Cricetulus griseus: one gene and its partners. Each later gene encodes a partner of the first gene's protein in a complex. Links are inferred from orthologs where the notes say so. Each region holds a gene or a part of one and is shown on either strand. Other genes may lie near its edges. The genes, in order: obscurin-like protein 1, Myom1 and coiled-coil domain-containing protein 8-like.

Evidence for each region.
Region 2: the proteins of obscurin-like protein 1 (region 1) and Myom1 are in contact, whole or in part, in a crystal structure (PDB 5FM5), measured with the Homo sapiens proteins. The link is inferred for Cricetulus griseus from reciprocal best matches to the Homo sapiens genes OBSL1 and MYOM1. Residues at the interface, in NP_056126.1 of Homo sapiens: Pro243, Lys253, Phe255, Val257, Asn258, Gly260, Lys261, His262, Ala263, Lys264, Phe265, Arg266, Cys267, Tyr268, Val269, Met270, Gly271, Lys272, Pro273, Pro275, Trp279, Lys305, Tyr308, Tyr317, Cys319, Ala321, Arg322, Asn323, Ser324, Ala325; in NP_003794.3 of Homo sapiens: Arg616, Pro617, Ser618, Ala619, Pro620, Trp621, Thr622, Gly623, Gln624, Ile625, Ile626, Val627, Thr628, Glu629, Glu630, Glu631, Pro632.
Region 3: obscurin-like protein 1 (region 1) and coiled-coil domain-containing protein 8-like share a complex: the UniProt entries of both Homo sapiens proteins name them as parts of the 3M complex. The link is inferred for Cricetulus griseus from reciprocal best matches to the Homo sapiens genes OBSL1 and CCDC8.

What each region holds. Positions count from the first base shown.
Region 1 is NC_048595.1:428,628,855-428,631,820, forward strand, and holds the end of obscurin-like protein 1, read right to left. Parts: coding exon of another isoform or gene 2,892-2,966; intron 2,778-2,891; coding exon 2,621-2,777; intron 2,461-2,620; coding exon 2,299-2,460; intron 2,008-2,298; coding exon 1,903-2,007; intron 1,585-1,902; coding exon 1,315-1,584; coding exon of another isoform or gene 1,307-1,314; intron 668-1,306; coding exon 660-667; 3' UTR 529-659; downstream 1-528. UniProt on the Homo sapiens protein: Core component of the 3M complex, a complex required to regulate microtubule dynamics and genome integrity. It is unclear how the 3M complex regulates microtubules, it could act by controlling the level of a microtubule stabilizer.
Region 2 is NC_048595.1:459,501,429-459,505,174, reverse strand, and holds the start of Myom1 (myomesin-1), read right to left. Parts: upstream 2,853-3,746; 5' UTR 2,755-2,852; intron 1-2,754. UniProt on the Homo sapiens protein: Major component of the vertebrate myofibrillar M band. Binds myosin, titin, and light meromyosin. This binding is dose dependent.
Region 3 is NC_048602.1:11,621,435-11,625,180, reverse strand, and holds the start of coiled-coil domain-containing protein 8-like, read right to left. Parts: upstream 2,284-3,746; 5' UTR 1,490-2,283; coding exon 1-1,489. UniProt on the Homo sapiens protein: Core component of the 3M complex, a complex required to regulate microtubule dynamics and genome integrity. It is unclear how the 3M complex regulates microtubules, it could act by controlling the level of a microtubule stabilizer.

The DNA of each region.
Region 1 (2,966 bases):
GGCAGGGCTTCTTCAGGGCCAGCCTGCCTCCTGTCCCACTGCTGGGGTCCCATGGGCCACTCTCCTGCATGTCTGTATGGAGGAGGCCTGCCTGCTTCCCCTATTGCTCTGACTTGCAGCCATCTAAGGGTTCCTGTCATTGTCCATGGAGCTAATGGCAGCACCCTTCACTCTGGTCCCCTGGCCTCTGCAAAGCCACCAGCCTGAAGGGCAGTGACAGGGGATGGAGTGGGGAGTGTTGTTCTGGGTTGGGTTTGGGAGGAGGGGGGAGGGAGAAGGGCTTAAATGCACGGTGCATGTCTGGAGTCTGCCATGCCACCCTGGACACCTCGTGCTTCTATCCCCTCCCACCCTATTTAACATCTTTTATAAATGTGCCAAACTATTTGGCCTCTGCCAGATGTCTTCAGTAACCGACCGGTACTTCCATCAACCAAGTTGGTAGCACTGCAACCTCAGAGCTATGTCACTGACTACAGGGGCTCCAAGCACGGCCTGCCCTCCCTGGTGTACAGACAGGCGTGGGCATGAATGGTAGCTTTTTTTTTTTATTATTGTTTCCTGATTCTCTCTGGCTCCTTCCTTTCCATCATGCCCAGTATAAGGGTACATCTCCTTCCAAACTGTCCGAGGGTACCCGCTTGGTCTGGGTCAGTCCTCTAATCACCTGTAGAGGGGTGGCTGCATGTAGACTGGTGGCAGGGAGACTAGGGTAAAACCCATTTCTTCCCCCTGGCAGAGCCTAGATACCCACGAGGGAAAGAGCAGGGTCCTACCCTCTCAGAGCCTCTGTCAGGGTGTCTATGGGGCCAAAGAAGTGGGGGCAGGAAGGGTGGAGCACACAGAAAAATGTGAAAGATATGCAAAGATTTGGGGTAGAGTGGGCACCTCCTATGTGAAAGAGGAAAGAAAGGAAGTTGCTGCCCAGGCTGCTGTTGAACCCACTTAAGAGAGCAGAAGCCTGCAGGACAACGGGCAGGAGGGGGTGGAGGTCAGGTACCAGCCGGTACTGGTGGGTAGTGAGGCACATTGCTACAGATACTGGTAGCAATGGGGTCTTCTGGGGAGACAAGCATGAACCAGAAGCAGAGGAAGTAAGAAGCCCTAGCAGGAAGGGTCCTAGGAAGGTCAGAGAAAGTTCTCTTGAGACTCGGGGCTCCCTCTCTTCTTCAGCCTTGGGTGTAATCTCTCCGGTCCCTCCCCCGTTCCCCACATGCACCAGAACCTACTGCCAAGGGTCTTTCCCCCATAGGGTGGCACCCCTGCCTGGTTAGCCTCCTGTTCGGGTGACTCTGCCCAGTGGGCTTTACTCACCCTCTACTAGCAGCTGTGTGTCGGCACTGTCCTGGCCCGCCTGGCAGCTGTAGGTGCCCTGGTCCTCAGGTCGGACATCATGGATGACCAGGCTGTGGGTGGGGCCGTGGCTGCGCATCTCATACTTGCTTCCCGGACACAATTCGATCCCCTCCCGCAACCAACACACGTGGCCTCCAGGGCGGGACACAGTCACCTCCAACACCGCCCTGCGGCCAGCCAGAACCGTCTTCTCGCGAGGTGGGCGGCGGCACATCTGGAGAGGCAACGCTGCGGTTGGGGGGACAGGAGCTTAATAAGGACACGCACGGCCCCTAGGGGACAGGTGCATCTTCTCTGCCTACGACCTCCATCCACTCCTGGCACAAGCCCTCCGTGCCATAGTCGGTTTCCCTGCATGCATGGCTCAAAGTCTCTTCCTCTCCATCTCCTCTTGAGGAAATGAGCTGCCCTCTGTGACCTGCCCCAAGAGAGCCCCCTCGAAGAGGAGAGATGAAGGAAGCAGCATCTCTAGGACCAGCGGCCAGTCAGTCAGTCCCAGGACCGGTGATGATGCCCTTCCCTGTCGCCTTCGCCTCAGAAGCTTACCCTCCACCTCCAGTCGAGCCAAAGACTGGGCGGGTCCCGCCTGGAAGCAGACTTCACCGGTGTCCTCGGCTCGCAGCTCGCTCAGCACCAGAATGTGTTTCTTCCCTGGGGGGGGGGAGGGGAAGGTAGCGAGGCCTCAGCCGCTTCCCGGGAGGATTCGAGAACGACCCGAGCAGGTCCCAGGGGGGCTCCGAAGAGTCGGTGCGCGCAATTGCAGATAGGAAGCGAAAAGGAGCTAGACTGGACACGGCGGAGGAAAGTCCGGGAGACCCTGGCAGTGGGGCCGTGGGGCGGAGCTGCTCGGGCTAGAGGCGGGGCTAATCCTAAAGGGGCGGAGTCTGCCTGCACCCTGGGCAAGGTAACAAGGGGTCACAGAGGGTAGGAAAGCGACCAGACCTTCCTGTCGGATGCGGACGCGGCCTCCGGGTCTCAGGACGCGGCCTCCGAGCTCCCAGCGTCCGGTGGTCTCGGTCTCTGACACAGTGCACTCGAACGTGGCGCTATCTCCTTCTCGGGCGCTAACGGACCGGAGCTCACGGAGCACAGACACCTCGCGCTCTGGGGCGGAGCCGTGGGCGTGAGGCGGGGGCGGGGCACACAGCCAGGACACACCCCCACCACGCCCCCTTACTAGAAGTGAGTAAACTGTCGGGGAAACACTCTTCCGCAGTCTAAGCGCCTAAAGTAGTACCCAGCCCGGGCACCCCTGGGTACCCACCGCGCACTGTCAGGCGCGCAGGCCCGGAGCGGGCCGTTCCCACAACGCAGCTGTAGGTCCCAGCGTCCGAGGAATTGCAGCGCCGCAGCAGCAGAAGGCGGCGCGCTCCGAGAGCCTGGAGTCGGAGCCGCGGGCTCGGAGAGAGTGCCTGCCCATCCTAATTAGGGCGGGGATTTGTAGTCGGTTAGACTGAGCCCAGCAAGACTCTGGAGGCCACGGCCCTGGAAGGTGGCGGTGTCCTCTGTGCATGCCAACCTGTCTAGAGGCTCACCAGGGGTTTCGTTGCGTTCCCCTGGTAGGGTTGGACTGATCCTCATCTTCCCTTTCTGATCACTTCTCGGAGAAG
Region 2 (3,746 bases), about 31 Mb from region 1:
AACTAAAATCTTTAAGGAAAATAAGTTTATAAATGACCTCATTTAATCAGAAAGCCCTGTAAGGTCAGCTGAGAGATATTAGAAAATTGAGGTCAATCAAGGGACTTGTTCTCAGAGTTATGCTAAAGGAAAGATATGAAGCAGAACGCAGATTGTCAAACTGGTAGTGAGAAGGTTCTCACCGGCTGTATTTGGAAGACCTCTTCTAAGTTCCAAAAGAACAGGAACATCACACAGAGTCAGAGGCCTTTGGTAGAGGGTCTGATCACTAAACTTTCATGTCAGAACAGTAGATAGAGTAGTAAGACTTAAGCTGATTTCTCCACATTGACTTGGTATATCCATAGTTCTGCAGACATGGATAAAAGGTGAACAGAACCCAACTTCCAATCAGCCAGGTTCTTTGTCTACCCCGGCCCCCAGACCTGACATGCCTCTCTCCTTTCCTCCACTAACCCCTAGAATCAGCACCCTAGAATTGCCCTCTGGGGACATCTTCCACTAGTCCCTAGGAGGGTTTATTTGTCCTTCTATAACCTGTTCTGTGGTGATATTTTGTTTGTGATCTAACAAATAAAGCTTGCCTGAAGATCTGAGTGCAGAGCTAGCCATACTAGTTAGCCATAGAGGCCAGCACTAGGGAGACAGAGGCAGAGGGATCGTTGAGAGTTCAAGGCCACCCTGGGCTACATGAAATTGATCCAGTCTGAAAGAGACAGAGAGCCAAGTGGTGCTGCACACCTTTAATCCCAGCACTAAGGAGGTGGAGATATAAGGCAGGGAAGCAGTCTGAGGAGGCAGTCTGAGGACAGGATAGCTCCCTTTGGTTTGAGCATTGGTAGAGGTAAGAACTCTAATGGATGCTCTGCTTCTCTGATCCTTCAGCTTTCACCCCCCAATAACTGACTCCAAGTTTTTATTTATTAAGACCAAAGAGAATTCATGCTACACTGTTTCATATTTGTCGCTGTAATTCTCCACCCTTTCTGTTCCATAGCACAACCCAACCCCAGAGGTCCCAACTGTTCATTTTTAAAATGAGCAAACCATAGCCCCTATCACAGTGTTCACAAGTTTAATAGCTATTGGCTGATTTTGAAGGGACCAGCTTCCCTTTCCGCAGCCATAACAGTCGAACACGTGCTTGCCATAAACCTGCCTTGGTCACTTAGAGGTCAGATGCCTGTCTCGTGACAAGGAATCCATCAGAAGTTAGTCACTAGAAAGTCAGATGCCTGTCTCGTGACAAGGAACCAATCGAAAGTTAGCTGGTGGCGCTATGCTTTACGACCCTGGGTGTGCTTTAAGGACTAGCACACAGCAATGACGTAGAGAGCATAGCAACCGCCCTGGGAGGGCCTATGGGCCATAACAACCAGTTGACCAATCAACACAGGGCAAGCCCTCCAAGCCTGGAAGCACACCAATCATGAGCCTGTGCGTATCCCTAGACACTCCCCTTACGCTGCCTTATAAAGATCTGTGCGCAGCAGCTTCAAACTGTCTTTTCTAGCCATCCGCCATGGCAGGTGGTTGAAAGACCCGAGCTAACATGGGGTTAGCTTGTTAAATTACAATAAAGCCTCGTGCAGTTTGTAGCAAGCTCTCGAATCCGCCTGGTGATTGGGGTGACCGCGAACGTGGCCTGGGACCCCAGATACTTGAGTTTTTGGGGGTCTAACAATTTGAGGACACAATGAGAATTCCTAGAGAAGCAACAACTCCACTGTTTTCCAGTTGAAGGGGAAACTGGGCTGCATCTAAAGGGGTTTTGATTTTCCCCTGCAGGACAGCCAGCCCAGAATGTCTGCGCCTCCCAGTGTGACAGGCCATTACTCCATGGAGGTGTTAGTGTGCTGCAAAGATCCACTGTTGTCTGACTCCTCAGCTCTCTGAGTTTGTACTGTCTCGGCCTGCCACCAGCTGTGTCCCAGACCTTCCCAAAAACTCATGTTGGACTCCTAAGTCCTTGACTTTCCAGAACCTGCTCTTGAAGACCTTGATTCAGAGAGCTGGAGATGAATTACCCAGTTAATTGTATTTTTAGTTAGCACTGCAAGTGCTTCATAGTATCAAAAAAGGAGGGAAATTTTGTCACCTATAGGATTAGGGCAATTTATTTTTTTTTTTCTTCAGTGACTTTACCTCTGAGTTAACTTTAAACTACATCAGGGTTAGGGTTAGGAGAGTTCCTTGAAGAAAACATCTGGTTGGGGAGGGAGAGGGAACTGGGATTGACATGTAAAACAAGATGGTTTCTAACTTAAATTTTAAAAAGAGGAGAAAAAAACAAAACAAAACATCTGGTCTGTCAAGCGCCGGAGCCTTGAGGATGGATATGGAACTCTAGAACCGCTCTGTTCCCGCCAGGGTCGTCATTTGTTTCTGGACCCGAGAGTGACCACCAACAACAGACACCCCGGCCTTGGCAGGATTCCCGGCAGGGGCGAAACGAATCTGTCGAGCTTTCCCTTCGCTTTTAAGAAGAATTACTGCTGGCGGCTGACTCAACGCAAGGTCCAGCAGCACTTTAGCCCTATTTCACCAAGTCGCCCTGGAGCGATGGACGTGTGGAGCAGGAGTCACCACCAGGGTCAGAGGGGGCTCTGGGAGGAGGAAGTTCCAGGGAATGTTTTTTGGGAAGAGGGAGCAATAATGGCTACTTTCAGGGAGAAGAGGAGGGAGCATTGGCTACTTTCAGGGAGAAGAGGGAGCGATGGCTACTTTCAGGCTGTTTGCATCCATGAACTCTACCTGGACCAAAGGGAGTTTCCTCCCACGTCGGGAGAGCCAGGCTCTCCATATAAGGACACGCCGTGGCCGCCTCTCACAGCGCTCGCACACGCCCGCCCGCCCTCCCGGCGCGCCGCCCGGGCCCTGAGGGGGCAGCTGACCTAGACTCCTGAGTCACACACACAAACTTCCGCACGGGCGCATTCCCGCGGCCGGGGGCGGGGCCGAGGCGGTCACGTGAGGCCCGCAGCCCCGCCCCTCTCGCCGCCACTTCCCTACATGGACTGGGACCCGGGGTCCCCGCCTCTGCCCGGGGGCTCTGGAATGCGGGCGGGCGGGCTCAGGAAAAGCCCGGGATGGACGCAACCATCCGCGGGGAGGAGGGGGAGCGCAGCCGCAACCCCGAAAGAGGCGCGGGGTCGGCGATGACGGCGAGAGACCCTCTGCACGAGGATCCTTTGCGTCCCGAGCTCCCCGCTCTGTTCTCCCGCCTCGGCGCCCTGCGCCCGCCGGCCGCTCGGGCATCTTCCCTGCCGTCTCCTCCCCGTCTCCCCGCCCCCCGTGGTCGGCGCTGGCCCACGGAGGCGGTGGACAATGGCGGCTAGGCTTCCTTCCGGTTTGCTGGCGGAGACCGGAAGTGGCTGTCCTCGGGGCTTCTGGATAGATATAGGGGCTGAGGTCGGTTGCGAGCGGCCGGTGGAGCTTCGCAGTGACGGCCTCGGTTCCCGCGGCTGAGCAGGGTGAGTGGGGCTGGCCGCGGGGCGTGCGTGGCCCGGCCCGGCCCGGCCCGAGAGGGTGTCCCCGCGGGGAGCGCCGCCGGAGCCGCGCGGCCGGAGCGGAATGGGGAGCGCACCTGGGCAGGTGTGCGAGCCCCAGCGGGCGGCTGGCTGTGGGCTCGCCAGCCGGGGCAGCCGGCTTTGCTCTGTGTGCCAGACTCGGAGCTTGGAAAATGTTGCTTAGCTCGCTGGCTGGCGCCTGGGCGACTGCCGGGCCGCGAAACCGGAGCCCCCGCG
Region 3 (3,746 bases), on another chromosome or scaffold:
CTGCCCTCGGATTAGCTGCAGCCTCTGCCCTCGGATTAGCTATAGCCTCTGCCCTCGGATTAGCTGCAGCCTCTGCCCTCGGATTAGCTGCAGCCTCTGCCCTCGGATTAGCTGCAGCCTCTGCCCTCGGATTAGCTATAGCCTCTGCCCTCGGATTAGCTGCAGCCCCTGCCCTCGGATTAGCTGGAGCTCCTACCCTCCGATTGGCTGCAGCCCCTGCCCTCGGATCAGCTGCAGCCTCTGCCCTTGGATTAGCTGCAGCCTCTGCCCTCCGATTGGCTGCAGCCCCTGCCCTCCGATTGGCTGCAGCCCCTGCCCTCGGATTAGCTGCAGCCTCTGCCCTCGGATTGGCTGCAGCCCCTGCCCTCCGATTGGCTGCAGCCCCTGCCCTCCGATTGGCTGCAGCCCCTGCCCTCGGATTAGCTGCAGCCTCTGCCCTCGAATTGGCTGCAGCCCCTGCCCTCCGATTGGCTGCAGCCCCTGCCCTCCGATTGGCTGCAGCCCCTGCCCTCGGATTAGCTGCAGCCCCTGCCCTCGGATTAGCTGCAGCCCCTGCCCTCGGATTAGCTGGAGCCTCTGCCCCCTGGATCTCTGCAGCCTCTGGGGGCCCCTGGGCTGGCATGCCTGTGCCCTGAGCTGGGAGTGGCGCCGCCTGCTCCTTCCTGGACCGCCTCAAGGAGACCCACTTGAATTTGGGATTCCAGCAGCTGGTACCCTGTGTCTGGTCGCTCCCATCCTCCGAGTTTCTGGAGCCATCGTCCCCCCTGGTGAGGCTGTGTCTCAGTCCTCCAGCCCTCTCAGCTGCCATGGAGGCCTGCTGGGCCTCGCCCACCTCGGAGCCTGACCTGGGTGCCCAGCCCTTTACCCTCTGTTTCAGCTTCCCCCAGGACACCTGACTGACATACTCCCGCCATCTGTCCGCCTTGGATGGCCTGGGACCCAGGTTGTTCTCAAACATGGGCACTGGCAGATTGACTCGGCGTCGTGGAGGAGGCAGGCCGGGCTTCTTCTCTCCCCGGCGGAGGAAGGCCTCCACCAGCTCCTGATCATCCTCGCTCTCCACGTCGCTGCCCAGGAATTTGCTGCCCAAGTAACTGACCGGCATTTTGCGCACCTTTCTGGTCCTCTGGGAGCCCCTGTTGCCTTTGACTTTGGAGGTCTCCAAGTCACTCAACTCGCTGTCGCTGGCGTTGCTGCTGTCATAGGTGCCTACAATCAGCCGGAGTGGAGGAGTGACCATCTGGGGGATTGCCCTCACTCGGGGCTCCTTGGCTCTCTTGCGGGGCTGGGGTGGGTGTGGAGTACTCTTTTCGATGATTCGGGCCACGTCTTCCAGGGTGCGGCCCTCCTCCTGCAGAAACTGCATCAGCCGCTCGCGAAACACAGCTTCCTTGGTGGCGGGCTTGGAGATGACCCTCCACACGCCCCCAGCCAGCCGGACCTCCCGGGGGATGAGCAGATAGTCAACATCCTCCCCAATCTGCAACATTCCCACCGTGGAGTCCTCCTCTTTGCGGAACACCTTCCCGATCTTCTTAAAGGTGCCCACGGGCCTTAAGGCCTCCACCAACACGTCCAGATCGACATCTTTGCAGACATCAGGGACACTCCAGAGGATCAGGCAATCGGGGGAGGGGAGGAAGCCCCAGGGGAACCATCCCCCCACGTGGCTTTTCTCGAGAGTCTTTAAGATCTCCAGAGTGGACTCTGGGGCGGGGGGGCAAGAAGCCCAAACAAACAAACAAAAAACTTGCTTCTAGTCTTGGGGAGAGGGCAGAGAGGGTTCCAGCAACTCTCTGCTCACGCAGAGTGTCACCTCCCCGCAGTTTGCTCCGCAGGCGATGAGTCCAAGTTGGGTTTCTCTCACCCCTCGGAGTTGTAGCGAGCAATTTTCCAGGGTGCTTACGGGAAGAGAGAGGTGAGGTCAGTCCCGAGGCTCAAAGCTCGGTCCAAACTGGAATCGCCAGCGTCCCCGCTCCAAGCTGGGAACGCACGGGCTCTGATCTCTGATCGCTTCTCCCTTGGCCCCGACACCCCGGGGTGCAGCTGAAAGTTTGTGGGAGGACTCTGCAAACAAAGGCGGCTCAGCGTGGTGGCCGTTCAATATGGCGAGGAGCTTCAAGGCCTCCGCCCAGCACCGAGGAGGGTCTCCCGCCCCCAGGAAGGCAGCCACCCGCTCCAGGCTGACCTTGCTTGCTGTCTGTCTGCGGTGGAGCTGAGAGTGGCAGGAAGTTTCTGGGCGCCCTCCCCTCCTGGGTGAGGCCCACCTTCTTCTCATCTTACACTCTCAGCCTGGGAAGACTGGCAGCGGAGCTGTCCACTCCCTTCAGGGCAACCTCCCTCTCCTCCCCACAGAGGTGTGGCCGCCCCCTAGGGCCTCGCTGGGGCCACGGCTTCCCATCTCAGCTTCCAAAACCCACGTCATCATGTCCTCCTCCCCCCCAACCCCCGCCCCCGAAAGGCAGCGGGTCTCCAACCTGCCATACTCGACGTGCAAGGCTAAGGCCAGTGGACTTACCGGGATGGGACCAGAGAGATGGCTCAATGGTTAAGAGCCTGGGCTGCTCTTGCAGAGGCCTTGCGTTGAGTCCCAGGACCCACGTGATGGCTCCTAATCCTCTGTTACTCCAGGCCCAGGGGATCCAACACCCCCTTCTGATCTCTGTGGGCACTAATGCACATACATAGCCGCAGGCAAGACATTCATGCACATAAAAAAGGGACCCACAAGATAACTCAGTGGGTAAAAACATTTGCCATGCAAGCCTGATGACCTGAATTCAATCCCCAGAACCCACATAAAACCAACTCCACAAATCGTTGTCCCAGGGCTGGAGAGATAGCTCAGAGGTTAAGAGCACTGGCTGCTCTTCCAGAGGTCCTGAGTTCAATTCCCAGCAACCATATGGTGGCTCACAACCATCCATTATGAGATAATGGTACCCTCTTCTGGTGTGCAGATAGACATGGAAGCAGAATGTTGTATTCATAATAAATAAATGAATCTTTTTTTTTTTAAAAAAAGAAGGTTGTCCAATCTCCACACGCATAGATTAAACATATGCAAATATATACACAATGATAAAATTTTAAAATACAATATTTTCTTTAAAAAATCTTTTAAGATCAAAGAGATATTGTGGTACCTTAGTTCTTAATTTACTATGTATCCCACGTGACCTCAAACTTACAGTGATCCTCCTGCCTCATACTCTGACTACTGGTCTTCTGGGCGTGCATGGGCTACCATGCCAGGATGAAAGACAATGTTTTCAACAACAACAAAAATTAAGTAAAGAAGTGACTTTAGGGGTTGGAGAGATGGCTCAGTGGTTAAGAATGCTGACCACTCTTCCAGAGGATGCGGGTTCAATTCCCAGCACCCATGTGGCAGCTCACAACTGTCTGTAACCCCAGTTCCCAGGGACCCAACACCCTTGCACAGGAATACATGCAGGCAAAACAGCAATGAACATAAAAATAAATACATCCTTTTTAAAAGGGTTAATATCAACATATAACAATTAATTTAATACCAATATAAAAACATCTACCAGACATGGAGTGCACACTTGTGATCCCAGTACTTGGAGGATGAAGAGACTAAGGTCATTCTCAGTTACAAAGAGAGTTCAAAGCCAGCCTGGGCTACAAGAGACCCTGTCTCAAATAACAACCCCAGGGGCTGGAGAGGTGACTCAGTGACTAAGAGCCCTTGGTGCTCTTGAAAAAGAGCTGGATTTGGT